4 linked regions of the Elephas maximus indicus genome follow. The protein of the gene in region 1 interacts with the protein of each later gene in a biochemical or structural test. Links are inferred from orthologs where the notes say so. Each region holds a gene or a part of one and is shown in the gene's direction. Other genes may lie near its edges.

Region 1 (6,853 bases):
AAATTGCTGAGTATTTGAACATGGTGCAAGCATTTGATCAGGGTAATATGATGTAAGAGATCAGTGGAAAAATCATCCTTCTTCCACTTTTCTATTTTTTAGTGTACTCAAGATGGCTACCCACTTATCACTATTAAAGCCCACTCTGAAGGAGGAATATCACTCCAATTAAATTGAACATGATAGATAAGTATTGTCAACGCTCACTGTCAGGCTCTCCAATAGTGAAACTTCAGCCATCACCTGGCAGAATGAGTGACCTAATTATCTCTTATAAAGGTTATCTCCTATAAACTTTACATATGTTGAGATAATTTGTAGCAAGTACCTGGTACATTATTGAATACATAGTAGGTATTTGTGATGGTTAGTTTTATGTGCCAATGTGGCTAGTCTGTAAACCAAAAACCCACTGCCGTCATGTCGCTTCCGACTCATAGTGACCCTATAGTACAGAGTAGAACTGCACCACAGGGTTTCCAAGGAGCAGCTAGTGGATTCAAACTGCCGACATTTTGTTTAGCAGCCCTAGCTCTCTGTAGCTCTTGACCACTGCACCACCAGGGCTCTCTGACTGATAAAGTACTCAATAAATATAAATATTGGCTTCTTTCATTTCTTCTCCTCCTCCCCCTCCTCCTTCTTTTTAATATACTTTTAAAATTATGCCACACAAATGACAACCTAATCTATATTTAAGGTCATTTCTCCTTAAAATATCAGGATATTCTGTCGGGGCAAACCCCAACCAAACCCATTGCCGTCAACTCGATTCCAACTCATAGTGACCCTATAGCACAGGGTAGAACTGCCCCATAGGGTTTCCAAGGAGTGCCTGGGGGATTTGAACTGCTTTTAGCAGCTGTAGCTTTTAACCACTACACCACCAGGGCTTCCTCTGTAGGGACCCAAACCCAAAAAAAACCCCAGTGCAGTAGCGGTTAAATGCTTTGACATGTAAGGTGTAACAGATTGTTTAGGTTCAAATCCCAGTTACCTCTGTAATTATTTATTGCGCAAATGGCTTGGGTAAATTACTAAATTTTTGTACCTCAGTTTATTAGTCTGCAGTACACGGATAATGAAGGAAGTACCTGTCCTGTGAAGGTGTTACAAGGATTAAACAAAGTAAAGCTTGCTGTGTATTTGGCACAGAACCTGATATGTATATGTTAAGTGCTCAACAAATGTTAACTAGTATAATATTGTTAGAAAATGCTGTGAGCTGGTATTTGGCTGTAATCCTTTACAATAAGATCCCTGGATCTTCCTAGTCATGCATGTATGCATACACTTAAAATGTAATATTACTATTAAACATTAGTTATTAAAATATATATATCTTCAGTAACTACTTGGTTCTTAGCTTTCTGGTTTCCTGTTTCATTCTTAAACAGGACTAGCTGTTCTGATTTCATGAAACAAAGTCCCTGGGTGGCAGAAATGGTTTGCCAATCTAAAGGTTGTTGGTTCAAATCCATCCAGAAGAAAGGCCTGGTGACCTGCTTCCATAAAGATGACAATGAAGAAAACCCTACAGAGCAGTTCTACTCTGTAACACATGGGGTTGCCATGAGTAGGAATTGACTTGACAGCAACATGTTTGGTATTTTTTTTTTTTCCCATTTAATGTGAGGAGAAAGACTGAGTTGGTGTGTAAATGACAGTATATAAATACATGAAGGATGGTTTAATAAGAAGCAATGGTACACACCTGTACAAGTGATGATTTAGAGTTAGACCTGGGTTTGAATCTGAGCTTTACTATTTTAGGCATTTTGCTTAACCTCACGTGTCTGTTTCCTCAACTGAAGAATGGGATAATAACACCAACTAACATGGAGGTTGTACTATTTATGTGCAATGATTCCTGGCAAATAGTAAGAACTCCAGAATTGGTCATTATTTTGTTTATTCTTTCCAGGGGAAAGAGACTGACAAATATTTGGGTTCTCCTGGAGCCAAATGACTTGGTCAGCTTCTATGATGTCCTTTGCAACTTAATCCCGTTTTTTGTCACTTACTGTTTGATAACAAAGAGGAGCTGATTACCAATTCATTTAAAAATGTGTGTATTAATTTGATCGGTCACACTAGCCCTTAGAAAGCAAACAACAGGGTGGGGGTGGGGAAGTGCATGGAGTGCGTTCAATCGACATACCTGGGAAAAGTCAACAGTAAAGACAGAACCTTGACTTTTATGTCACAGAAACAGGAATTGAAGCAAGGGATCATGAGTTAGGAATGCTGAAGTTTTTTGCTGTTATAGAACATTATGCAATTTGATTTAACTCTTTGGTTTTTATTTTCTTTGCATTTAAATTTAGAATAATAAAATGTCAATGTTTTAAAAATTAAGATAGAAAAAAAGGTGGCATTGAAATGCAAAGCAGAACCATAAAAACCAGTGGAATACATTCCTTAATTCAAACATATAGCCCTGTCTTCATGAAATGCACATTTTATTTGTACTTTATTTGGTTGACCACGAGTCAACAACAAGGTACACACAAGTAAACACCCTTGCCTTTGATGTGAAGCCAATAACGTAATCGGACTGAAATTTTTGCTTTCATTTGAATTTTTCAATTCAAACTCAATGTGCAAATGCTTCTACACAACAGAGTTCAGGAATTAAATTCCTGGCTCCTTAAAAACTATCAGACCTGCACACAATCCACACACCAAAAACTCCGATGTGCCCACGCGCGGGAAAGCCTAGATGCCCTCGGAGTGCTGAAGATGGCGTTTCTACGCGTCCGGTCAAAGTTAACTCGGTACCTTTGCTTCAAAGACGGGATTCTTTTCAGTGGTTTAGTCAAGATGTTTTGCTGACTGAGACTAGGAAATCCATAGGAGGGCGGGCTAGTTTACGCGCTGTTCACTTGTCACTGTCGTCGCGAATGCTCACAAAATTCTTCCTTAAAACCTCAAGCCGGACTGAAAAACTTAGGACAGGCAGTGAACAAATCCTGGGTGGGCAATGGGTAAAGCAATATCCCCTCTTACCTCCTTGTAAGTTTTTTTCCCCCCATAAGGTGTCTATGCCACACTTGGAGCGCACCTAAACCTGAAACTAACAAAGCTTGGCTCTTCCCTCTGACACCCAAAGGAAGAGCTAAGGTGAACACGATCACAGCAGACGCAGCCGCGGAACTTTCCGGCTCTCCAAGGCTGCATTTTGATACACGAGAGACACATTTCCGCTCTTTTCAAAATGCACCTTGCAAACTTAACACGAGCGTGGTGGCTAGGATCTCGGGAGAAAGGAGGAGGAAGGAGCGGGGAAGTTGGCGGCGGAGGGTCCAGGGTCGGGCGGAACCTGGCGCGTAGGACGGTCCAGGAGGCTTCCCGCGGGGCCGGTTCCCCTCCTGCCGGTGGCTGCTCTGTCCTCGAGTGCCGGAGACTGGACCTGGAGAGCGGCCGTGACTGTTGCGCACCTGTGGGTAAGGCTGGACTGTCGGGACTAGGACCTGCGAGGAGCGCGCATGAGGGAGGGAGGCCGGCACGTAGAACCGGGAAAGGGAGGCGCAGGGCAGCGAGGGAGGGAAGGAGGCGAAAAGGAAGGAGCGGTCGGGTTGCGCGCGGAGGGTGCGCAGGAGGTGGAGAAAGCAGCTTGAACAAATTTGGAGCCGGACCAGGCAGCGCTTGTCTTTCAACTTGGGCAATGGAGGAGGGGGAAGGAGCAAAGGAAAGGGGAGGTGTGTGGAGTGGGGGTGGGTCGGGGGAGTTGGAAGCAAATGACATCACAGCAGGTCAAAGAAAAAGGGGCGAGCGCCCGGCACTGCGAAGAGTAGGGCGAGTTTGGCCATTAAGAGCTACAGCCCAGTCATCCTCGTCAGGGACCCTGGCGCCCCGCAGGACCATGCAGAAGTCGCCTTTGGAAAGGGCCAGCGTCATCTCCAAACTTTTCTTCAGGTGAGGGGTGGCCGCCGAGCTTTGGAAGGATACGTGCCCGTGTGAGAGGAGGGCGTGTGTATGGGCTGGGTTTTGGGGAAAGAGGAATAGTTTTTTTTTTTTTTTCTAAAGATGCGCTAGCACGTTGTCATGAAAGAAAACGTGGATCTTGTGGAATGAATTAGAAAACAAGCGGTGAAGGAATGAACCGGAGGATTGTTTGGCTAGAGAGCTATAGTCCACTTGTAACTGAAAGTCAGACTCTCAAGACCTAAATATGCTATTGTGCAATTGTTCTGTATGATTTTCTAGAAACTATAAATTATGAAGTTGTTAGTTAACAAATATTTAAGTTTGGTCCGTTGTTTTCCAAACCCTTTCATGCTTTGAAAACTTAATCTTCTTGGCACATATACTACAAGCGCCTACCTGCATGTAGTAGTTGCTCAGAAAACATTTGTTGTCTGAATTTTGATTTTTTTCTTTGGGATGGTGGTGGCAGTATGTGCTTCAGTAAATTTTCCATTGTTATGATGTTGACTAGATCTCATAACAAGTATTTGCTACCATTCCATTATTCTTTCTTCTAAGAATGAAAGCAAACCCTTTGAAATATTTTTCTTAAAAAGAAAGCTAATTCTGTAGCTATAAATTAAAAAACGGAGTCAAAATTATCAGATCTGGAGCCACGAGAATAGATACTGAAGATATATCCAACTAACATTTAATAAATGGTACTTTCATCTTCTTTGCATGGAATGAGCCATAAAAGCTTGCAAACTTCCGCTAATGAGATTTTTAAAAATAGAGTTCCAGAGTTTCAGGCAAAGCATAATTAGATGTAGCATTTCAAATCTGAAGTGTTCTTTGAATACTGAATCCACTTAGTTTCTTTTAGTACACCTGTTTGATTGAATACTTAGATACAGCTCTCTCGTGGGATATAACTTGACTCATAATTCTCCAGTGAATCAGCATACTTAGGTATCAGAAAAGTGAAATTTATTATAAATACGTGCATATATGTGTGAGTGGGGAAGGAGATTGGCTTTTCACATCTCTCTAATGTTTTATTCTCTTCATGTGCAGTGAAGCCTGGAACTCAGGTACTAAAGAGAGGCCAGTGGCCACTGAAGGAGAGCTCCTCCCTGTGGATGGGAGAGAAGGACTTTGCTCTTTGGAATCACCGTTTGTATTGATGTTTACAGCATCTGTTGTTAGTCCATCAATAAAATAGTCTTATCTATAGATCTAACTTCCTACTACTTTACAAAATCGGGGTCTTGGTGGCACAGTGGTTAAGCATTTGACTGCTAACCAAAAGATTGACAGTTCGAATCCACGAGCCACTTCTTGAAAACCCTATGGGGTTAATTCTACTCTGTCCTATAGGGTTGCTATGAGTTGGAATTGACTCGACGGCAAAGGGTTTGTTTTTTGTTGCTGTTGTTACAAAATCAGAATGCTAATAAGCACAAAATATAGACTTTTTAGCAGAATATTTTGAAGAATCTAAGTGCCAATCAGCCTAAAACTGCAGTTTTCAAAAGAGTGAATATTTCACAGGTACTTCCAAGTACTGAGTATGAAGAAACCCTAAATTACCTAATTGTTGATTTATCAAAGTCGTTTTTTTTTTTCCTTTTTGCTCATCATCTCATAAATTTTAGTATAGATTACAAATGCTCTCAGCTTGATATGGAAAGAAATGTATTACAAAGGCTGCTTAAATTGTTAAGAGCATACTTACTCATGTTCTCCAAACTATTTCGTAATAAGTTGCTCTAGGAAAAGGTGCCTTATCTGTAAAAGTTATGGTAAGTTCTTACTATTATTAGTAACAGAAGAGCATCTAAAGCCCCAGTGATTATAAACTTCCTTCTGGGTTAGGCAACATTGCTTAAGTTGTCAAGAGTGTTAGGAAGCTTTGAATTCAGACTGTTTTGATTCATATCCCAGAACTACTGCTTAGCAGCTTTGTGACCTGAGACAAGTTGTTTAACATCTCCGAGTTTCTGTAACTTGACTTTTAAGACTTGGAGACTCATAGTTCCTATGTCAGAGGGGTTAATTAGCTGAGAAAATGCTTGTAGAATGTTTAGCCCAGTAAATATTAGCTGCTATTGTTATTTACCATGTTTTTTTTTTAATTCTTTGCCATTACCTCTTATTTATATGAGATGCTCAATTCATCTTTGTTGAATACAGTTTTGTGACTATCTGTCTGTATATGAAATGAATGGGCATATGTGAGAATATGGAGCCCTTGTGGCATAGTGGTTAAGAGCTCAGGCTGCTAACCAAAAGGTCAGCAGTTCGAACTCAGCAGCTGCTCCTGGAAACCCTATGGGGCCATTCTACTTTGTCCTATAGGTTCGCTATGAGTCGGAATCTACTTGCTGGCAACGGGTTTGGGTTTTTGGTTTATATATATGTATATGTATTGAACTTATGAAGGTTTACAGAACAAACTAGTTTCCCATCAAACAGTTAGTACACACATTGTCGTATGACATTGATTAACAAACCCACGACATGTCAACCCTCTCCCTCCTCAACTCTGGGTTCCCTATTACCAGCTTTCCTGTTCCCTCCTACTTTCCAGTCCCTGCCCCAGGGCTGGTGCACCCCTTTAGTCTTGTTTTGTTCCATGGGCCTGTTCAGTCTTTGGCTGAAGGGTGAACCTCAGGAGTGACCTCCTTACTGAGCTGAAAGGGTGTCCGGGGGCCATGGGTTTTTTATTTTATATGAGAATTTAATTTGGGTAAGATCTCATCTTGTATAGCCTTACCAGATAATATAAGAAAGAAGTCATATGCTTGTATCATACGTTGTTAAACGCCTTAGAATTTAGCTTTCTGAATATGATCCCTTCAGTTTCAGAATAATATAAGAGTAAAACTGTTATGTTCCAGGTTATGGATTATATTAAATATCTTTTTCATTGTCTAGGTTT
Region 2 (7,292 bases), on another chromosome or scaffold:
GTGATGTCAGTGGCAATGATGGTGACATATTTATAACACCTAGCCCAGTACCAAACTAAATTTTTAGTATATGCTAAATCCTTCCCCTGGGCTGAAATTGTATGGGGTGTTAGAGAAAAAGAAGTTCCAGTGTCTGGAGTGCATGAGACAAGTGTTGAGAGGTGACCTGGGAAAGATCCAACTAGGGCCAGATTATGAAAAGTTTTATATTCCAGGCCAGGGAGTTTAGAGTTTGCCACACGGGCACTGGGGAGCCATGGGAGGTGTTGTCACAGGGGAGTGGTGTGATCAGATACAACGTGCTGCAAGTTTGAGAGGAAATCACTAGGCTGGAGCAGTCAGGGGAGGAACTTAAGCTGAGCCTGCCTCGGAGACTGAACAGGCCTGGGCTGTGCTCCTGAAGGGATGCAGGAGGCTCCAGTGTTTCTCCCTTGCTTCCTTTCCCAGGTGGTTCCACGAATGTTTGGGAGCGTGGTGGGTAAGAGCCAGGAGGCGGTGGCCCAGGCCATGGTTCTGGAAATGTTCCGGGAGGAGGACTACTACAACGACGACGTTCTGGACCAGATGGGTGCCAGCATCTTGGGTGTGGAGGGCCCCCGGCGCCACCCAGATGAGCCCCCAGAGGATGAAGTCTTTGAGCTTTTCCCCATGTTCGTGGGAGGGCTTCTCTCTGCCCACAACCGGGCTGTGCTGGCTCAGCTTGGCTGCCCCATCAAAAACCTCGATGTCCTGGAGAATGCCCGGGCCATCAAGAAGAAGCTGGGCACACGGGGCCGCCAGGTGCTGCCCCCATCCGAACTTCTTGACTACCTCTTCTTCCACTATGAGTTCCAGAATCAGCGCTTCTCTGCCGAGGTGCTCAGCTCTCTGCGCCAGCTCAACTTGGCTGGTGTGCGCATGACGCCCCTCAAGTGCACCGTGGTGGCAGCTGTACTAGGCAGTGGGAAGCATGCCCTGGATGAGGTGAACTTGGCTTCCTGCCAGCTGGAGGCTGCTGGGCTGTGCACACTCATGCCTGTCTTGCTGCGTGCCCGGAAGCTGGGGTGAGGACCATTCTGCCCCTGGGCACAGGCATGAGGAGAAGAGAGGGGTGGAGACAAAGAGATGGGAAAGAAGAGGGTAGGCGGACCAGAGGTCCTAAGGGAGCCCCAGCAGGTGGGATGAGGAAGTTTGGTGTGGGTGGAGGTGATGGAACCAACGGCAGAAGGGAGAGCAGGTGTGGACTGCTAGAGGCAGTGTGGTGAGAAAGCAGGTACCATGCTGAATTCCTGCCTTGGTCTCTTTTCCTTGTTCTTCCCCTCCCTCTGGCCACTTTCTCCTTTTCCAGCTTGCAACTCAACAGCCTGGGCCCCGAGGCCTGCAGAAACCTCCGAGACCTACTGCTGCATGACCAGTGCCAAATTACCACTCTGCGGTGAGTGCCTCGGGAAGGGGCATCTAAGGTCAAGGGTGAAATCCCTGCCTCGTATGTACTTGGCACAGCCCCACCCACAGTGTGGTAAAGGCTGTAGGACTCAGGCTCTGACCTACCCCCAGGTCCAGTACAAGCAGCAGGGCAGGGGGGAGATGCCACCAGTAAATGGTGCTTAGAAAGCCTCTCACATGGCTAAAATTAGCCTGTGTAGGGGGAGGGGGCCGTGAACGAGGGGGTGGAATAATATCCAGGCAGGCTGCATGGTAACAGTGCTAGGATGTTCCCTGCAGCCTCACAAGGATAACCCTAACGCTGGGCACTCAGTGGACGCTCCCAAAGTGTTGATTGATTTACCAGGAACTAAGACTCCCAAATATTAAGACTCCCGGGTTCCCGATTTCTGGTTAGAGCAGGGGGATGTGAAGGAGGAGTGAGAAAGGAGGGAAGGAGAGAAGGATGTGAGAGCTAGAGGGAAGGGAGAAGCAGGGGCGGAGTAGGGGGGTGAAAAAGGAAGAAGGGAAAGAGTAAAGAAGAGGAGGAAGGGGAGAGGGAAGAAGGGAATCAGGGAGAAAAGGATAACAAGGTGAAGGAGGAGAAGAGGAAGGAGAAGTCAGCTTTTACCCCAGTCTCCCTCCTCCACCATGTACCACACCCCTGTTTCTGCCTCCTCTTCTCCTGGGGGCTGCATTTTTTGGGGTCTAGGCTCATCTCGGCCCCAGGCTGTACACCCCTTTGGTGCAAGTCCTAAAATGCAGAGGAGGGACCTGCAGTGGGTCCTCATAACCTTTGTTGATTGTGGTTGATTGTGGCCATAGGCTGTCCAACAACCCACTGACGGTGGCAGGTGCAGCACTGCTGATGGAGGGGCTGGCGGGAAACACCTCGCTGACACACCTGTCCCTGCTGCACACCAATCTTGGGGACGAGGGCCTGGAGCTGCTGGCTTCTCAGCTGGACCGCAACCAGCAGCTGCAGGAGCTTAACGTGGCCTACAATGGCGCTGGCGACACAGCAGCCCTGGCTCTGGCCAAGGCTGCCCGGGAGCACCCTTCCCTGGAGCTGCTGCAGTGAGTCCTCCCCCTGGTTCTGACTCATCCCCACCCTCAGCCTGGCCTCCCACTCCTCAGTCCTACTTCCCTCTTGCCACTGTGCTTTTCCTCCCCTAGGGGGCGCTCTGGTCCTAGGCCTGATGCCTATCCTCTCTTTCTGGCTTCTGACTGATCCTTGTCATCCTGGTTCTGAGCCAACCCTAGCTGCTCAGTGACTGGACCTTACCCTGTCCTGATTCCCTAGCACATTTCTCCTGTGGTCCTGGTGGCCCCATTCCTACCGTCCCTGGTCTTGTGGGGTTCTCATGTCAGTCCCTGCCTCCCTTTGGCCACCCTCTCTATCTCTGGCTTATTGCAGACACTTGCCCCATTGCACTCCACAACCAGTGAGACCACCTGATTTTCTTGCCATCTACCCTCTGTCCCCTCCTTCTCAGAGCCCCGCTGACTGGCTTCTATCTTCTCTCTCATACCAGCCTCTACTTCAATGAACTGAGCTCAGAAGGCCGCCAGGTTCTGCGAGACTTGAGGGGCACAGCTGAAGGTGGTGCCCGAGTCGTGGCATCGCTGACAGAGGGGACAGCAGTGTCCGAGTACTGGTCAGTGATCCTCAGTGAAGTCCAGCGGAACCTCAACAGCTGGGATCGGGCTCGGGTCCGGCGCCACCTTGAGCTACTGCTGCGGGATCTGGAAGATAGCCGGGGTGCCACCCTTAATCCCTGGCGCAAGGCCCAGATGCTGCGTGTGGAGGGCGAGGTCAAAGCCCTTCTGGAGCAGCTGGGGGCCTCTGGAAGCTGAGAAAGTGGCTGCAGGCACCTAGCTGTGTAACCACTGGCCCCCAAAACCGTTTCCTTTGCGGCCTCCTAGCTTGTACGACTTCTTCTAGAAAGACCTCTCCAAGGGCTGGAAGCAAAAGAATGGGCACAGCTGTGCCAGCTGCGGTCCTAGGACATGTCCAACCAGTGCCCCCAAGCCTGCAATCTCCAGGGTCAAAGGTGGGGAGTCGGTGTTCTGGGCTTGTAGAAGGAACATGCCTCCTCTCCCTTCTACTAAAAGGGGTGAAGGATGTGACATTTTCATGGCCACATTGCCCTGTAGTACCATCCCCAACCTTGCCTCTCCCAAGGACCCTTTGGTTATGCCACCAAGGTGGCATACGTCTTATGTCCATCATGCCACGGGCGCTGCCATCCGGAAGATGCATTGGAGGGTCTAAACTTCCATCCATCCAGACCCAGCCTCCACCTCCTACCTTCATAACCCATCTGTGGACACCAGGAATGCCTGCAGTCACTCTCTTCTCACATTGGTGCTTTCTCCTCACCCTTGTACCCCCTTTACCAAAATGGTACCTATGGCTCGGTGGCCCCTGGGGCAGGTGCCCTGACTTGCTACCATTAAAAAGCTGTGTGTCTTCCATGCCTCCTCTTCCTTGGGTGCTGCTCTTCTTGATAATTCTAGTGAGACTACTGACCACTTTGTTTTACACCAGGCTCAGAGGTTGTGGGGGCTGGGAGAAGCCCATGAACAAGATATTGGGAGGGGGGTAGGTCATGCTGGGCTGTAGAATTTTATCCCCTTTTTCATATTCCCCCCCCCCGCCCCGGGCTTGGAATTGCAGTGACCAACCATCTGCCTTTCTCTGTACATAGCGGGTGCTGGACAGCAGCATGGGGCCCCAGAAGAAGTTGGGACTCAGGAATGGGGGCAGGAGGAACACGCCCACTTCCCCAGAGGATAAGACTTTTATCCATGTTAACCATTACCCCTTTGCTTCCATGGCAGCATCTTCAAGGAGGCGGGACCTGGGGTAGGAGGGAGGGTCAGCTGGTTGCGATGGACCTTGTCCCTACCCTGAGCCCTGGATCGCTGATCCAGCTATGGAGGCAGCCGCAGGTAGGAGGAGGAGGCTGAGAGAAAGATTTTTGGGTGGGGGTGACTTTGGGGCAGCTGGGGCAGACATGGAGGCTGAGGCTCTGGGACCAGGGCACCACTGGATGTTGGGGCTGGGAGCCCTGAGGCAAATAGACTGGAGTTAGGGGAGGAGAGGTGAGGTGATTTGTTTTCCTGGTCCACGCCCTGCACTGATATGCTTAGATTTCTGTGCCGAGGACTTGGGGGAGGAGGGATGGGAATGCGAAATATCTTTGGTATATGACATCAGTGGGAAGGGAAGACCCCTTTGCAGCAGAGCTGAGGGGCAAGTCCTGAGTTCGGGGGTTCCCCTAAGTCCTTTCAGTTTCTGACCATGGGGAGAGGAGTCTGGAGGGAAGAATGTGCCTGTCCTCTGCTCACCACGTCTCGCCCCCCGATCTTCAGGACACAAACTCATTAATTCTGTAAGTGTCACGAAGGGTTGGGGCAAGGGGAGGAGGGGATAGAAGGTGAGGAAGTTCCCAGCTGCCATTAGCACTTCAAGTTGAAACTGGGAGCCAAGTCCAGATGTTAAGCTTTCTCTGCCCTGCCTCTTGCCTCCTTGCAGGAAGTTTGAGTTTAACCCAAAGCTGGGGATTGATAATCCTGTCCTCTCCCTGGCTGAAGACCACGACTTCTCTGGTAACCCCCTCACCCCCTGGCAGCTATTTCCTTTCCTCCGGGAGGCACCATAGTGCCACCCAGCTTCCCATCCCCGTGGTAACCACTTACTTCTGTCTCCCTCTGATAGCAGCCTTGGCCAAGAGTTATTATATGGAGGTAGGAGGGGACTAGGCAGTTTCCTTCTGTCCCAGCCACATTGCCCACACCCAGCACCTTACAGGGTGGAAGCCTGCCTGGTGCCCTATAAAGGGGGCAGGGTCTGCCTGGCACACAGTGACCTGTCCTTGGGCCACACCTTCTCTCCTCCCTTTTCTGCTGCGTGACTTCTCCACCAGATCCCTGGAGCCTGCAGCGGCCTCACTTCTGTCTGCTGAGCAAAGAGGAGGGCAGGAGTTTTGGCTTCCACCTGCAGCAGGAGCTGGGAGGAGCAGGGCATGTGGTGTGCAGGGTGGAGCCAGGCAGCTCTGCACAGCGTCAGGGTCTTCAAGAAGGAGACCGGATCCTGGGGGTGAACAGCCATGTCGTGGAACATGAAGGCTACGCAGAGGTGAGGTTGGGCTGGAACTCTCTGTGGTACAGTCTTCCACAGGACCCCAGGGACAGAGAATCTGCTACCTCCTGGGGCACTGTGGGGAAGGGCCCAGCCTCACCCCCAGGATTCAGGGGTGCCCAGGTTGAAAGGGAAGGGTGTGGTGAAGGCATTCAGAGAGCTGGTTCTTCTGGTGAAAAATGCAGGTGCCAGGGAGGGGAGCTGGCATGAAGGGTCAGCCCCAACCCCTTCCACTTGCCCTGTGTTCAGGTGGTGCGCCGTATCCGGGCTAGCGGTCCCCGGGTGCTGCTGATGGTTTTGGCGCGGCACGTGCATGATGTGGCCAGAGCTCAGCACGGCAACGATGCTCAAGTCTGTCCTACCCTAGGCCCTGGGGTCAGGCCCCGGCTGTGCCACATAGTGAAAGACAAGGGTGGCTTTGGCTTCAGCATCACCCATGGTGAGCTTAGACGTTTGGTGGGGAGGTCAGGAGAGGGGAGCTCTCAGCCCCTGCTCTGAGCAGGCAGGAGACTGAAGCTTGCTTTTTTTCTTCTTCCAGGAGAGCAGGGTCCTTTCTGGTTGGTGCTGAGCACTGGGGGAGCAGCTGAGCAGGCAGGGGTGCCCCCTGGGGCCCGACTGCTAGAAGTGAATGGGGTCAATGTGGAGAAGTTCACTCATAAACAACTCAGCAAGAAGGTATGGCTGCCTTTTTCCCCACTCACCCTCCACCCATCTGGTCCTAGGGCCAGCAGACCCCCCCCCCACCCCTGCCCCTGTACCTCATGTCTGCTCTGATCTTGTGCCTTCATCTCCATCCTTCCCTTGACAGTTTGGTGGCACGGTCCTTACTGCCTCCCCTTGGTGCCTCAGTCCTGTGCCTGGGAGGAGGGGCTGTGAGGAGGGGCCGGCCTCTTCCCTCCCTACCCAGGTGGTTGGTGCTGATGCTCTGCTGGGTCCCCACAGCTTCAGCAAAGTGGAAAGCAGGTGACCTTGCTGGTGGCAGGGCCAGCGGTGGAGGAACAGTGTCGCCAGCTTGGAATGCCCCTGGCTGCACCCCTGGCAGAGGGCTGGGCACTGCCAACCAGACCCCGTTGTCTACACCTAGAGAAAGGGCCCCAGGGCTTTGGGTTCCTTCTTCGTGAGGAGAAGGGCCTCGGTGGTCGCCTCGGTGAGTGGGAGCCCTGGGGGTGGGTAAGGAAGGTAGGCCTTGGGCTAGGCACACAAGTGTCCCGGTCTCAGTGTACATAAGAGATCCCTCTCTGAGCCTAGCCCTGGGCCTCCTCCTGTGTACGCCCTGAGCCAGTCCCCTGGTGTGCACATGGGGATGATAGGGGAGGAGCAGTGACAATGGATGTCTCTGTCCCAGGGCAGTTCCTGCGGGAGGTGGACCCAGGATTCCCAGCTGAGAAGGCGGGGATGCAAGCTGGGGACCGGCTGGTGGCTGTGGCTGGGGAGAGCGTGGAGGGGCTGGGCCATGAGGAAATAGTGTCCAGGATCCGGGCACAGGGCTCCTGCGTCTCTCTCGTTGTTGTTGACCCTGAGGCTGACCGCTTCTTCAGTATGGTGCGAGCTGAGGGGCAAGGGCTGGGTGGGGGTGGGAGTGGAGCAGGGTGCAGGTAGAGGGAGAAAAGCAGGTTTGTTCTGTCTGCCTCCTTCCAGGTCCGCCTGTCCCCACTCCTCTTTTTGGAGACCACAGAGGCTCTTGCCTCTCCCCAGGACACCCTCTCAGTGCCCTTGGTTGAGGCCAGGGACCCACCAGCTG
Region 3 (7,120 bases), on another chromosome or scaffold:
ACACCCACCTGCCCACCCAGACTCTGCGGCTGCCTCTTCTCAGTCCTACAGGCCACCACAAAGGGTGGGCAGCACCCACTCCTGGGGTGAAAGATGGGCCGGCTGGGGCAGGAGAAGGGCCAGTTGGGGGCAAGCCTTCCTTCCCCAAAGTAACCCATCCAAGCTTCCAGGCGGATGTGAGCAGCGAAAGGGAGATCCGTTCAGAGGACGGGGAGACCCTGGCCAGGGTAAGTGACTGTCTGTGGGGCGGGATGAGGGGTGGGGAAGCCAGAGGCAACTGGCCCTGAGAACAGGCTCTTCCTGGCAGGAGTATGGAGTTCCCTTCATGGAGACCAGCGCCAAAACAGGCATGAACGTGGAGCTAGCCTTTCTGGCCATTGCCAAGTGAGCCCTGAGCCAGGAAGGGAGCTTCACAGGCAGGGCGGCACCATCTGGGAACCCCATAGGGCCCAGCCCAGGATCCCCTCTGCATTCTGCATCTTCAGTCCATTTGGTCAGGGCTGTGGGAGTGGGGAGGATGCTTTGTTCCTCACTCCCAGCTCAGACCACTGCTTCTTCCAATTCAAGGGAGCTGAAATACAGGGCCAGGCAGCAGGCCGGTGAGCCCAGCTTCCAGATCCGAGACTATGTGGAGTCCCAGAAGAAACGATCCAGTTGCTGCTCCTTCGTGTGATGGCCAAGGGGCTGGGCGGAGGCTCCAGAGACCCAGATGATACAGCCATCTCCCCCACCCAGTCTATTCCCAAGTGGCTGAGCCAATGGGGGGAGAGCTGGGGACCTGGTGCACAGCCCCTTCCAAGAGGGAGCTGTCCTCCAGCTCCTACCCTAGTTACTGTAGCTTCCCTGCATCTGGAGGAGGGTAAACTATTTACATTTCATTTTAATACCAAAAAAGGGCACCAGGTTCCCCGGAAGATGGGCAGGGACCTGGTGGCCCTGTTATCTTTTAGTATTAGGACTTCCTGTGTGGCTGGGCCTGCCTTCTGGCCACAAGGAAAGCATTGCTCCAGCCAGCACCAGGGGGCACTGGTGCACTTCTGCCCGATTCCCTGGGGCCTGAGGGCTGGTAGTGTCCCTGTTATTACTTTAGCTGGAAAGAGGCTGAGCAGACCCCAGCCCTCATTTCTTCCAGCTCCCAGGGGAACAATCTTCCCCAATAAGATGGGACCTTGTGCTGGGAGCCTCAGGGAGGGGAAACAGGAGCAACAGAGACTAGGGCCTGTTTGGCTACCTTCAGACCTTACCAACTGCCCTTCTGGAGACATGGCCCTTTTCCTCCAGCATACAAGCACATGGGAACACCTGGGAACATTTGGTTCCTCTTCTCTGGACCTCAGATCCTGGGAAAGCCCCTCCTCCCTGAACCCCTGATCTTATCGACCTTTCTACCTGAGCCCCTAGACACCTAAGATCAGAGCTAGGGAAAAGGTTTTCTTTTTGTCCCAAGCCCTTGGCAGTAAGCAACCCCGCAGGCCGCTTTTCAAGCAGCTCTAGTGCTTCTCCTGGATTAAGATCTGCATAAAGAGAAACCCCCAGCTCCCGTAGTAGGTGGGAGGCATAGCCGAGAGACCCTCTCCCCACCTGTATCTCCCTAAACCCAAGCTCTGCCTCCTTCCTGACCCCTCAACCCCCAGGCCCTTTTCTTCTCAGACACCAGAGCCAAAACTGCCTCACCTCCCTCCTACTGAGTCAGGTAAACTAGTACAACATGTGCAAAATAAGGTCATGTGGCTACATCTGGGGTGGAGATGAGGGTCAGCAAGGAGTTTCTGTGGGGCCAAGGTCACACGTCTCCCAAAGCCCCAGCCCAGCAGCTGGAAGTGGACAGAAGAGGCACCTTTACCCCAGCTCCGCAGCCTGGGGAGGGTTGAGGAAGAGAAATGTCCTGCACGTTTAGGAGGCAACTGCATTTGCTTTAAAGGCAGAAATTTTGCTCTCTGAGCAGAGTCAGCGGCTCCCACTTGGGCCTGATAAGGAAGCTCTTGGTGGCCTCTCCCAGCCAGAGCAGGGAGGAGCCTGACCTTGCTAGGCTCTGGGGCTGCAGGCTGGTCACAGGCCATCCAATCACTCACGTGGGCTGCTTTGGGTCTCTAGCATTTGAGTTTTTCAGAATTAAATTGCAGTATTTTGGAAAGTTCACCCTGCCCACTGCTTCTTTGAGATGTACCTTGGACTGGGGGATCACATAGAAGGGACTGTTATTGCAAGCTGGAAGAACTGTCAAAACAAACAAACCCATTGACGTGGAGTCTATTCCAACTCATGGTGACCTCATGTGTTACAGAGTAGAACCCTGGTGGAGCAATGGTTAAGTGCTAAGCTGTTAACCAAAAGGTTAGTGGTTTGAACCCACCAGCCACTTGACAGGAGAAAAGACCTGGCGATCCGCTCCGGTAAAGATTGGAAACCAAACCTGTTGCCCTCAAGTCAATTCCAACTCGTAGTGACCCTATAGAACAGAGCAGAACTGCCCCATAGGGTTTCCAAGGAGCAGCTGGGGGACTAGAACTGGCGACCTTTAGGTTAGCAGCTATCATGGATTGAATTGTCACCCAAAAATATCTGAAAACTTGGCTAGGTCATAATTCCCAGTATTATATGATTATCTACCATTTTGTTATCTGATGTGATTTTACTGTGTGTTGTAAATTCTATCACTATGATATAATGAGTTATATGATGAGATCTACAAGATTAGATTGTGTCCTGAGCCAACCTCTTTTGAGACATAAAAGAGAGAAGCAAGCAGAGAGACATGGGAACCTTATACTACCAAGAAAGCAGCGCCGGGAGCAGACTGAGTCCTTTGACCTGAGGTTCCTACGCTTAGATGCTCCCAGACCAGGAGAAAACTGATGACAGGGACCTTCCTCCAGAGCCAACAGAGAGAAAAAGCCTTCCCCTGGAGCCGGCCCCCTGGATTCAGAATTCTACTACTGGACTGTGAGAGAATAAACTTCTCTTTGTTAAAGCCATCCATTTGTGGTATTTGTTATAGCAGCACTAGATAACTAAGACAGCAGCCAAGCTCTTAATCACTGTACCACCAGGGCCCCGTCCAGTAAAGATTACAGCCTAGGAAACTCTATGAGGCAGTTCTACTTTGTCCTGTAGGGTTGTTATGAGTCAGAATCAACTCTAAGGCACACAACAATCTTTACTGAAGCAGGTCTCTAGGCCTGTCTTCTGAGGTACCCCTGGGTGGGTTCAAACCACCAACCTTTAGGTTAGCCCAGAGCAAACCATTGGCGCCACACAGGGACCCTCACTGGGGGTCCAAAATCATTTGATTTCCCCTCACCCTTCGATTTCCCCAATTGGCCAGCTCACCCTTAACAGAGCCTTTGACCAGCCCTTATCTGGCAGGAGGAAGCTGGAAGAAGGCTTATGTCATAGTCCTAACAGTTCATCATTTCTCTGTTGAAAATAGCCAGGGCCTTCTCCTCCGTGGAGAGTACCCAGAGGTTGGTTACCTGAGTCTATTCTGCCTCTCCCCACCCCGCTTCCCTACCCAACCGCTGCGCCGTTGCCCGCAGTGGCCTGTCTTCAGTGGGTTGCACAGAGCCTCACGCCTTCCCCGCAGGGATCAGAGCCAGCACCCCTATAAGCATGTCCTGGAGCAAAGGAAAGTGACTCCACAGACAGGAAGACGTTATTCAGAGCTGGACGCCGGTCTTATAAGTTAGGCCGCTGGAACTTCGCTGCCCGGGAGCAGGAACTGTTTCCCCGGCAACAGCGGTTCACTCAAAACAGCCGCACACGGACTTCGAGCTATAGAGTCTTTCCCCCGAGAGCTGAGTCTCCTCAACTCCCGCCACAGGTGAGGGAAACCGAAACAGAGCCTGCGGGGCCCCTCCGCCCAGTACCCAAACTCGTCAGGTCCCCGCCCTGCTCCGCGACTCGGGCCACTTGGTAACAAACACTTCTACTTCCTGAGCCTCTTTCTTCGCCCGCCGCGGGGCGCTGCGCCTAGCGCAGGCCACGCCCCACACGCTCCGATTGGCCTGCGGAGTTCACCCGGCCCGAACACAGCCTCCGGTGGTCTCTGATTGGTCTGCGGCGGCCCACTCCCGCGGCGCGGCCCGGCCCCCAGGATAAGGGGCCTGGGCCGGTCCTCGAACGCGCAGACGCCGAGCAGGGAGGGATTGGTCTGTCAGCTTCCCCAGTTTTTGGCAGTGCGCGCCCGCCGCCGCCGTCGCCGCCGGAACACCTGTCAGCTCCACCCGTCTGGGTGCTGGGATTCCCGCCAGGCTCCCGGCTTCTCAGGGCGGGAGAAGGGCTGGCCGTGCAGTTTTCAGCCTCGACAGGACCCCGCGTGGCGTCGTTGAGCCGTTGCCGGGGCAACATGAGCTCGGCCGCGGCGACCGGGGCGCCCCTGCCCCGGCTCTGCTGCCTGGAGAAGGGCCCGAACGGTTATGGCTTCCATCTGCACGGGGAGAAGGGCAAGGCGGGCCAGTTCATCCGGCTGGTGGAGCCCGGCTCGCCCGCCGAGAAGTCGGGGCTGCTGGCCGGGGACCGGCTGGTGGAGGTGAACGGCGAGAACGTGGAGAAAGAGACCCACCAACAGGTGGTGAGCCGCATCCGCGCCGCGCTCAACGCCGTGCGCCTGCTGGTGGTCGACCCCGCCACGGACGAGCAGCTACAGAAGCTGGGCGTCCCGGTGCGCGAGGAGCTGCTGCGCGCCCAGGAGGGGTCCGGGCCGGCCGAGCCGCCGGCCGCCACCGCGGCGCAGCGGGATGGCGGCGAGAGCGAGCTGCGCGAGGCCGAGAAGAGCCACGCGGAGCAGGTAGGTGCGGGACCCGGCGGGCGGCGCGTCTGGGACGGGGAGCCGCTGGGGAGACCCGGACGCCCAGCCCCCGCCCTCCCTTGTCTTTCTGAAACTCGAGCGGAGAGGGGAGGACTGCTTCCGCCCGCCACCCCGGCGCTTGCAGTTCCTGAGCAGGCTTGGAGGCAGCCTCCCGCTATCCCCAGCCCTCTCCCCAGACTGGGCCGGGCCCCTGAGCGCCTTTGCTTTGTGCACCTCTTGTCCTTCGACTTTTGGGGGTGCAGTGGGGGAGGGAGCGCAGGCGAGTCTGCTCTCGTTCCAGTTAGTTGTGGGGGATCCCCGCCCTCCGCAGGACCCTCCCAGGGCCCTCTCCTCGGCCACCCCACCCCCAGCGCGCAGTTGGGCGGGGGAGAGTGTTCTATTGCCCCAGAAGGGCCAGCTTCCTCCACGGCCCCTGTGGGTGGGAACTGAAGCTGGGGTAACGGTGAGAGCGGCGACTTCCAAAAGCCAGAGAAGTAACAGTCCCCTTCAGTGCGGAGATGCAGCCCCGGGCCTGGGCGGGGGAGGGGTGGCTAAGAGGAGTCTCCTGCACCCCCTCCCCCCAGCCCGCTGGTGTGTGTATCATTAACCAAGCCCCGCTGAACTTCATCCTCCTCCTGAAGTCCGCTGTGACTTCTAAGAAGGAGGTGGGAAGCCCCACGTCCCAGGGCTGTGTGTGGGGGTGGGGTGCGAGGAGGAGGCGCGGAGGCGTCTCGGGGGTGGTGGCTCTGCCACCCAGGAGGATTTATGTTTCTCAGGAATGTGAGGAGTAAGCGCTAGCTTGTATCAGGGAGCGGGAAGGAGGACTTGAAGGGGGAGGAGAAAGATGGCTGGAGGGCTGGGGATGGCGGCCCGTGGCACAGGGCCAGGAAGTGGCTCGCTGAGCACCGTGGGCAGGTAGGCATGGCCTCCACGTCTCCGGACAGCGAGCTGGCCAGTGGCGCTTTGGTTCATCCCATTTGGATCAGCTGCAGGAGGGGCAGCTGGCAAAACAGAAGTTGTTGTTCTGAGCCTCCTGTCCCCAGAGAGTGAAGAGGGAGGCCCCTGGGTGCAGACTGTGGGGGCCAGGGCTGGGCTTCCCCAGAGCCTGTTTAGCTTTTCCTGGTGGCAGTAAGTGGCCGACATGTCCACAGTGCCAGTAGGAGCCTTCCGGACCGAGAAGGGACACACTTCAGCACAGAGGTGGAAGGTGGAGCCCTTGAGAGGGCCTACGGGTTTGGTGCAAGTGAAAGACCTGAGGTAACCGGGAGCCCTGTGCGGCCGGAGCTGGGTACTGGGAATGCGAGGGCCACCAGGCTACCACTTCCTGCCTGTTCCAAACTGGCATTGATAAGGGGCAGGGGGAGGGGCAGGAGCACCCCAGCAGGGGGTTGACACTGGGGAGTTGGAACTGATGACCTCTGATCCCAGACAGAATAATCCAACTTGAACTTCGTGCTGAGACATTGATTTGCCATTCCCTTTTTTTTTTTTTTTTTGGACTTGGGCACCCACACAAATGCCCATCCCCTAAGTTTCAGTCACGTTCGGCTCTCCCTTTGCCCTTTTTGTTTTGCTGCTGGGTGCGTGAAGGCTTGACGTAACACCCGCGCGCACAGCTATCTGAAAAGGCAGCGTGTGGGCTTCCTGCTCGCTGGGCTGTTCTCTGGGTGAGCACAGAATCGGATTCCCCCGATGGCCACGTGCCACTTGGGCAGCCTACAATTGTTTGTGCTTTGCTAGGTTGGAAGAAGGAAGCAGAACCACCTCCAGAGAGTCCTGGGGACACCACCACGAGGGCTCTTAGGGTTTCAGGTCAACGAGCAAATTACAGGACCTCTCTGGGCCTTGGTTTTCCCATCTGTAAAATGGGACTCCACGAAGCATTCCTTCTGTAGGATTTTACTCATTGCTGAATTGAGCTCCTTTATGCCCAGGCATTCCAATCACAGCTCTATGCCACCAACTCCTTCCACCTGGCCAGTCAGCACTGTTAAGTCCCTCAAGTAAACAATGCCCATCATCTGGTAGGGTGAGAGACAGGAACTCATCCTGTTGTTGCAGAAAATGTTAATAAACACTGTAAGCGTTGTTATTATTTTTCTTTTCCTAAAAGGCATCCCTTTCCTATATGCAGCATCTAATTGAGTTTTACTAATTAGTTTCAGCCTGAATTTGTTTGCATAATAGGGCTGTTACATTATCTTCATTAGTTCTCATAAGTGAAAAAGGTCTAAGTGGTAAAGTGCCTGCAGAGAGTGGTGGGCATGGGTGGCATCTCACTGGGAAGGCCATCCGGGGTCAAGAATACAAAGCAGAGGGTGAGGTGGGTGCCAC
Region 4 (6,955 bases), on another chromosome or scaffold:
TAACTTCATTTAAAAGGTTTTGCTATTTTAGTTCTAGAAACAGAAAGAAACCGCCTTACCATAATGCAAAAAAAGCAAAACCATTGCTATCTAGTTGATTTTGACTCATTGGCAACCTCATGTGACAGAGTAGAACTGCTCCATAGGGGTTTTTTTGGGCAGTAATCTTTATGGAAGCAGTTTGCCAGGCCTCTCCTCTGTGGAGCCAGGGGCTGGGTTCAAACTGCAAACCGTTTAGGTTTTTGCAGATGGTTGCAAACCACTTGCACCACCCAAGCTTGTTTCTAGCCATAATAAAAACCCATCGTGCTGGAGTGAATTCTGACTCATAGGGATCCTACAGGACAGAGTAGAACTGCCCCCATAGGGTTTCTAAGGCACAGTGGTTAAGCACTCGCCTGCTAACCAAAAGGTCAGCAGTACAAGCCCACCAGCCGCTCCATGGGAGAAAGATGGGGTAGTCTGCTTCCATAAAGATTTACAGCCTTAGAAACCCTGTGGGACAGTTCTACTCTGTCCTATAGGGTACCATGAGTCAGAATTGACTTGATGGCAGGCAACAAGTTTGGTTTCTTGATTTGGAATCTTTACAGAAGCAGACTGCCCCATCTTTCTCCTGTGGAGTGGCTGGTGGCTTCCAACCACTGACCTTTCAGTTAGCGGCCAAGCGCTTCACCGCTGAGCCACATGATACAAATTATGAGGGATGTGCATTGCAGAGAAATTCTTCTGTATGTCTAAATACTACACTGGGCACTGGGAGACCTAGGTTCAGATTAGCTAAATATGTGGCCATGGACATATGTTTGTCTGTGAATTTTTTTTTCTCATGGGTTGTACCAGATGCAGTGGTTAAGCACTGAGCTGCTGCTAACCAAAAGGTCGGCAGGTCAAAGCTACTAGCTGCTCAGCAGGAGAAAGATGTGGCAGTCTGCTTCTGTAAAGACTATAGCCTTGGAGACCCTATGCGGCAGTTCTACTCTGTCCTATAGGGTCACTATGAGTCAGAATCGATTCAACAGCAACGGGTTCTTTTGAAAGTGACAGAAAATTCACCTCAAAATGGCTTAAATAATAAGGGAATTCATTGCCTTATATAACTGGAAAGTCTAGAGGGTTGGCTGGACAAGGAGATTGACATGTCATTAACGACACCATTTCTCTCCATTTCCACCCTGCTGCCCTCAGTTCCACCTTCATCTTAGGTCTGCCTCCCCTCATGGGTACAGATGGCTGTCAGCAGCAATCGAGGACTCATGGCGACCTCATAGCACAGAGTAGACCTGCCCCATAGGGTTTTCTAGGCTGTAATGTTCACGGAAGGAGCCCTGGTGGCGCTTGGTGAAAAAGATCACAGCTAACCTAAGAGTCAGAGGTTGGAAACCATCAGGCTCCTTGGGAGAAAGACGTGGCAGTCAGCTTCCATAGAGATTTAAAGCCTTAGAAATCCTATGGGGTCGCTATGAGTCGGAACGGACTCTGTGGCAGTAGCTTTGGTTGGGGTTAATCTTTACGAGAGCAGATCAGGAGGAAATCACCAGGTCTTTAATCCCGCGGAGCTGCTGGTGGGTTCCAAGCGCCCACCTTTCAGTGCTAACCAAGTGCTTAACCTTTGTGTTACCAGGGCTCCATGAGCAGAAAGCATATCTACCTCTGCAGTCACTTTTTGTTTTCGTTTACATCCACATTCTTTTCTGTTTTATCTTACGATTGTCCATTTCTCCCTCTGAGCATAGGTCTCTGTGGAAGATAACAAACACTAAAATGAACTCGATGAGGCTTGGCATAGCTCAGGCCTGGGCTGGAGAAGGGAAGTGAAGCTAATAATGTGACGCGTTAGGGTCTCTGTGCACTTCAGGGCGGAATGGAACGGCTCCTTATTCCTTAGGTGGTGGGCAGACAAGTCAACTTGGTGTGAGTGATTTAGAACTGTCGGACCCTCATTGGAGGCAAGGCTTCTCAGGCACTGCAGCCTTTTTCCCTAGACAATGCGCAAGCTCTTTGGGAAAGGAGAAAAGCCTTCTTGTACAGTTATATTTTTCCTGCGATCTGCATTAAAAAAAAAAAAAAAAGGTTTAGTACCTAGATCCTTAACGCTGGCGAATCCCCCAGCGTCTTGAGGGAGTGGCCAAGGGTTGGAACAAAACACTTCTGAAGAGAAAAAAGGCTGAGGGTCTGCATAGTACCCCACCCCTTTGGGAAATACCATCGTTTTATTTTTATTACCGCACTGAGAATCTTACCAGATGATTTTTGGAACCTGACTTAAGAACTAATTGAGAGCTTCTGCTGTGCGGAGGAACAAAAGACTTTTTTTTATTAGTCTGTAACTGAGGCATGTACCTGTCTGATGGCTTTTGCTCATTCCGCACATGCTCAGTTGAATAGAAATCTTCATATTGAACGGAATCTAGCACAACGGCAACACCCAGAACCTCACTCCCTGGCTGACCGTGTGCATCCACTCCCGCTAGTTACATTTTTATCCTGAATTGTCTAACATTTGCAGGGATTATAGGGAGCAGTGTAGGCGCTGGGAGTTTGGGGGGAAGATATGCAAAGGGGCTTAAAGTCCTTGACCTCTATTTAGGCTGTCTCTAGTGTGGTAGGCGCTGAACAGATTTTGTTGAGTTTGGGGCAGAACGCGGGAGAGCTGATTCTACAAATTACTCTTTGTTGTTGCACACATTCCTGGACAGTTTTTGTTCGGTCCACTTCTTGTAGGTGGAAGACCCCCCTCCCCCAGCCCTCATCTTCATTAAGGAATGACAGGGTGGCACTAAAACCATCCGCCGCCTAGCACAGTTTTGAGTGACAACCTCTCCACCTCTCTTCTTCCCTTCCCATTCATTAGGAATCTTTCCGTGCCTACTTGCCCAGCGAAATCTGGGAAAGGCTTCCTGCAGTTACAAAAGAAGGAGGAGGGTGGCTGGGGTTCCGCACCTCTCGCCGCAGACAGCCGAGTACATGCGTGCGATCGGGGGCCTTTTGTCTCCGGCCCATCCCGCGGGAGGGCGGGAGGTGACGACCCCGATCAGGCCCCAACTCGGCAGCTGCCGCCCGCTCGCCCCTAGGGCCATCCCCCACCCTCTCTAGATTCCCGGCGCCCGATCGTTCGCCGTGACGTGTCCCGGCGGCGCGCGCATGCGCCGGCCAACCTGGGTCCCTTCCCTCGGTCGCCACCTCCCCTCGGGCTGGAGTGGGCGGGGCCTGTGCTTCTGGAAGCCGCTCGGCCGAAGTGGGAGGGGGACGTGTGTGCGCGAAGCGGGTGCGCGGGGCTCGCCGGCCGATCTGCGGCTGAGGCTGAGGAGGAGGAGGAGGAGGAGGAGGAGGAGCAGAAGGCGGTGACCACGACTCCCGCCCGCACAGAGCGCCAGTCCCGCGAAGCCCCCTCCCACTCCCGGGCGGGCGGCGGCGGCGGCGGGAGGAGGAGAAGGAGGAGGGAGCGTCTTTGCCACCGCCTTCTGGTCCCCAGCGCGGATCCGCTGCCACCTCCTTCCGCGGCGATCCTCCCTCCATGGTCCTGCCGCGGCCCCCCTTGTAGTCCGAGCTGCCCCACGCCGCACCGCAGCCGGCCCCGGGCAGAGGGAACGGCCGCGGCCTCGCGGCCCGCACGGGCTGACTAACAGGGAGCGCGGCGCCGCGCGGTCCCCGAGGATCCGCACACCGGGCAGCGCGGCCCGAGCAGCGCGAGGAGCAGCGGGCGGGCGGGCGGCGCCGGGCCCGGGCCGCCCTCGCTCAGCGCCCCGGCCCCGCCGCCCGCGCCGGGGCGGTCGCCCGCGGAGCAAGAGCTGCAGTCTGCGGGCCTCGCAGCCGAAGCGGCCGGATTCGAGCGTCCTCAGCACCGAGGGCTCGCGGGTCCTGAGGGGAGGAGGCGAGTCCGGGGCCGGGCACTGAGCTCTTTGGCGCCCCCACCCCCGTTTTCGGAGTCCTCCACGCTGCGGCCACTGTCCCCTCCGGACCATGGCCGACGACGACGTGCTGTTCGAGGATGTGTACGAGCTGTGCGAGGTGATCGGCAAGTGAGTCTCTACGCGAGGGAGCGGGAGTGTGGAAAAATGCATTTCAGTGATGCCCGGGTCCTTCCGCACCCTCTCGGGGCCTGCCCCCTACCCTCCCTCCCCTGCACCTCCCGCGTTCTCCTCACCCTCAAGTATTTATAGACGTGGACCTGGACCTCCTGCCCGGCGGGGCTCTGGGGTTCTCAGCGATCTGTTGAGGCAGACGAGCCGATGTCGGCCACCCCATGAGGCGTGGGGCCGGCTGAAATCTGCTGCCTGCATTTTTTTCTGACGGCTGCACAGGGACGTGGCAGAACCGATTTTATAGTTGCTTTTTGGGAACAGTTGAGGTTTTTGTTACCTTGAATGTGGCTCAGACCATTAGCGAAAAGAGCAGTTTGCATTTCTTTTGCTTGCGTGGAAAGAGAAAGAGCGTCCAGGATTTTAAATTGTGGGGTGTGTGCCTATTGTGCAGGATATTAGATGCCTTTGTGTTCACCCCATGCCCGGATTGGAGGGGGTCCTTTCGGACGGGGTGCGTTCAGTTTCAACAGATTCCTCACCTTGTTGTACACAGACATGGAGAGAGTTGGGGGCATTCAAATTTTTAACGCCTCGTTATGCAATGACTGTAAAATCAGTCTTCGAGGCTCCCCTCGACTGTTGTTGGGATGGTGGTTGGCGTGGTAGAGCTGTCTGCTTTGAGTCACCGGGCTGGACTAGAATATAGAACTGACAGTCCAAATGCTCATCCTTTTATCTGTGTTGTATAATTACACTAGGGAAAGGCAGGGAATCAGATTAATCACAGTGCTGATTGAGAATTAAATCTGCAGTTCCTCATCTAATTGTCCATTCCTTAAATCTGTTTTGAATAGTTTCCTTTTCATTCTTGTCAAACAATATTCCAAGTGCACAATCCTGCTAATTTGCCTGTGAGGGAAATGCTGGCAATTTGAAGTTGATTTCCTAGTTCAGTGTGTATTCTGTGGCTTTAGAAGTTGCGGAGATGAGATTTAAGAGTAATTTCCGCTTATTTAATAGGGGTTGCAAGATAGCTACCACTGAAATATTTTATCTATTTATTTACTGGAGGGGGTGCTTTATTGTCTATTTTAAGGTCTGCAGTTGGGAATTGAAGCCAAGACCTTAGAGCAATTGACTCCTTGTCTTTTAAGTTGCCTGCAGTACTCAATTTCAATTTAAGCGCTGAAAACTCGTTTTTTATCTTCCATATTGAGGCATTACAGTGTTGCCTCAGATGGTGAAATTGTGAACAGAGCTTGCTACACACTTTACTCAGACCGGATTGATATGAGAACATGTTACTCCTTGCCCCTATTGTTACATGATCAGCCCGTCTGCTAGAAGGGTATCCAAATGTGTCTTGGTAAAGTGGTGGTGGAAGTGCTCTGAAGCAGCTCTGCTCAAAAGATAGATAATGTGAGCCACACTTGTCATTTTAAATTTTCTAGTGGCCACATTTTAAAAAAGCAACAACAAACAGGGGAAATTAATTTTTGCAATTAGTCCAAAATATTATTGTTTCAACATATAACCGACATAAAAATTATGATATGTTTTGCATCCTTTATTTCATACTGAGTCTTTGAGATCCAATGTATATTGTACATCAACAGCACACCTCATTTGTGATGCTAAGCTAAATTTTCATCAGAAATATTCGATCAGAATATGTAGGTTTCTTAAAATTTATATTTGAAAAAGCCGATTTATATACCCAAGTTGTTCCAAACACACCTAAAAGTTTTCTGGTAACTGAATTGAGTATCTGTTTCTAAATTTAAATTAATTAAAAGTAAGTAGAATTCAAAATTCATTTCCTCAGCCAGGCTAGCTGCATGTCAAATGCTTAAAAACCACATGTGAGTATCACAGTTCTACAGAGACAAATATATACAAAATCTCATTGGTTTTTTGTTTTTTCATTTTTAGGAGTGCCCAGTGAAGGTAAATTAGGTGTTTCCCAAAAGCCCCAAAATGACTCTGTGTGTAGGTGAATGATGTTTGTTGTGTCTTAGTTATAGCTGATGTAAATGAGCCAGCAAAGTCATAATTGGAAAATGTGAGATTGAAATTTTATATTGTGTTGACTGGAAATAACCGTCTTTTAATCAGTTTTGAAAACTAGTTCTGATTAGTTAAGGTTTTGAAGAGTAATGATGAGATATCTTTTCATCTCTAAAAGAGGCGGTCAGCTTTACATTAACACAGTCAGTATTCTGCTGACTTGTAATTGAATATTTTTAGGAAACACTCCTGAAAGAGCTAAAGCCATCTCTTCTGTTGCAGAGCTGCATGCGGAGGGAAGGCACGCAAAGGTTGAGGTGATAGGTACTCTGTGGTTACCTTAAATGCTGTTGAACTGTGAGATCTCCGTCATATTGTACACGATCTGACTTGGTCAGTGCCATTTATAATATGCCATTCCATGAATTAATGAATTCAAGGTAGCCCTAGTGGTAAAGAATGTAATGATAGTGTTCGTCAGCCTGTGTAAAGGTTGAAGGTTTCTCCGGTAAATTGTCTCAGCATATATATTGATCTGGGAACTGAAATTCATTTGAGATTTTCTTTCAGGAACCCTTGACAGCATATTATTTTATCTTGGAATTTGTTCAACTCTGGATTTAAGCAGAAAGACTTGAAGATGGTCACTTGTACCGAAAACCCTTTTGTTAATGTCTATCTAAATTCTATGGAATTTTCTTTTTCTTTTATACCAAATTAATATCACGAGTTGTTTTTGACTATTATGGTCTTAATAGGTTTAGATTTTCCTTAAAGTACTTTAAAATAGATTTTACTTCTCAAGACCAATTGACCACCCACTCACTCACCTGCTTACTCACCCACCCACCTACGTACTATGCATTAGACCTTACTTGGTAGCAGTAAATGAAAGCTCTAGTCTAATTTAGGCCCTTTAGAGT

Evidence for each region.
Region 2: the proteins of CFTR (region 1) and NHERF4 form a complex in vitro, tested with the Homo sapiens proteins (2 studies listed by BioGRID and IntAct, with this or other methods). The link is inferred for Elephas maximus indicus from reciprocal best matches to the Homo sapiens genes CFTR and NHERF4.
Region 3: the proteins of CFTR (region 1) and NHERF1 form a complex in vitro, tested with the Homo sapiens proteins (9 studies listed by BioGRID and IntAct, with this or other methods). The link is inferred for Elephas maximus indicus from reciprocal best matches to the Homo sapiens genes CFTR and NHERF1.
Region 4: the proteins of CFTR (region 1) and CASK interact in a test that uses a peptide from one of them, tested with the Homo sapiens proteins (2 studies listed by IntAct, with this or other methods). The link is inferred for Elephas maximus indicus from reciprocal best matches to the Homo sapiens genes CFTR and CASK.

Annotation. Positions count from the first base shown.
Region 1 is NC_064826.1:32,185,278-32,192,130, reverse strand, and holds the start of CFTR (cystic fibrosis transmembrane conductance regulator), read left to right. Parts: upstream 1-3,853; 5' UTR 3,854-3,865; coding exon 3,866-3,918; intron 3,919-6,853. UniProt on the Homo sapiens protein: Epithelial ion channel that plays an important role in the regulation of epithelial ion and water transport and fluid homeostasis. Mediates the transport of chloride ions across the cell membrane.
Region 2 is NC_064835.1:11,644,952-11,652,243, forward strand, and holds the start of NHERF4 (Na(+)/H(+) exchange regulatory cofactor NHE-RF4), read left to right. Parts: upstream 1-4,290; 5' UTR 4,291-4,343; coding exon 4,344-4,359; intron 4,360-4,693; coding exon 4,694-4,802; intron 4,803-4,945; coding exon 4,946-5,019; intron 5,020-5,336; coding exon 5,337-5,548; intron 5,549-5,800; coding exon 5,801-5,990; intron 5,991-6,089; coding exon 6,090-6,226; intron 6,227-6,493; coding exon 6,494-6,698; intron 6,699-6,896; coding exon 6,897-7,093; intron 7,094-7,189; coding exon 7,190-7,292. Other genes in the region: NLRX1 (NLR family member X1), read left to right, coding at 448-1,043, 1,328-1,414, 2,230-2,481, 2,940-3,261.
Region 3 is NC_064837.1:65,146,246-65,153,365, forward strand, and holds the start of NHERF1 (Na(+)/H(+) exchange regulatory cofactor NHE-RF1), read left to right. Parts: upstream 1-4,113; 5' UTR 4,114-4,345; coding exon 4,346-4,786; intron 4,787-7,120. Other genes in the region: RAB37 (ras-related protein Rab-37), read left to right, coding at 44-227, 308-384, 568-603. UniProt on the Homo sapiens protein: Scaffold protein that connects plasma membrane proteins with members of the ezrin/moesin/radixin family and thereby helps to link them to the actin cytoskeleton and to regulate their surface expression. Necessary for recycling of internalized ADRB2.
Region 4 is NC_064846.1:132,417,569-132,424,523, forward strand, and holds the start of CASK (peripheral plasma membrane protein CASK), read left to right. Parts: upstream 1-3,938; 5' UTR 3,939-3,963; coding exon 3,964-4,022; intron 4,023-6,955. UniProt on the Homo sapiens protein: Multidomain scaffolding Mg(2+)-independent protein kinase that catalyzes the phosphotransfer from ATP to proteins such as NRXN1, and plays a role in synaptic transmembrane protein anchoring and ion channel trafficking.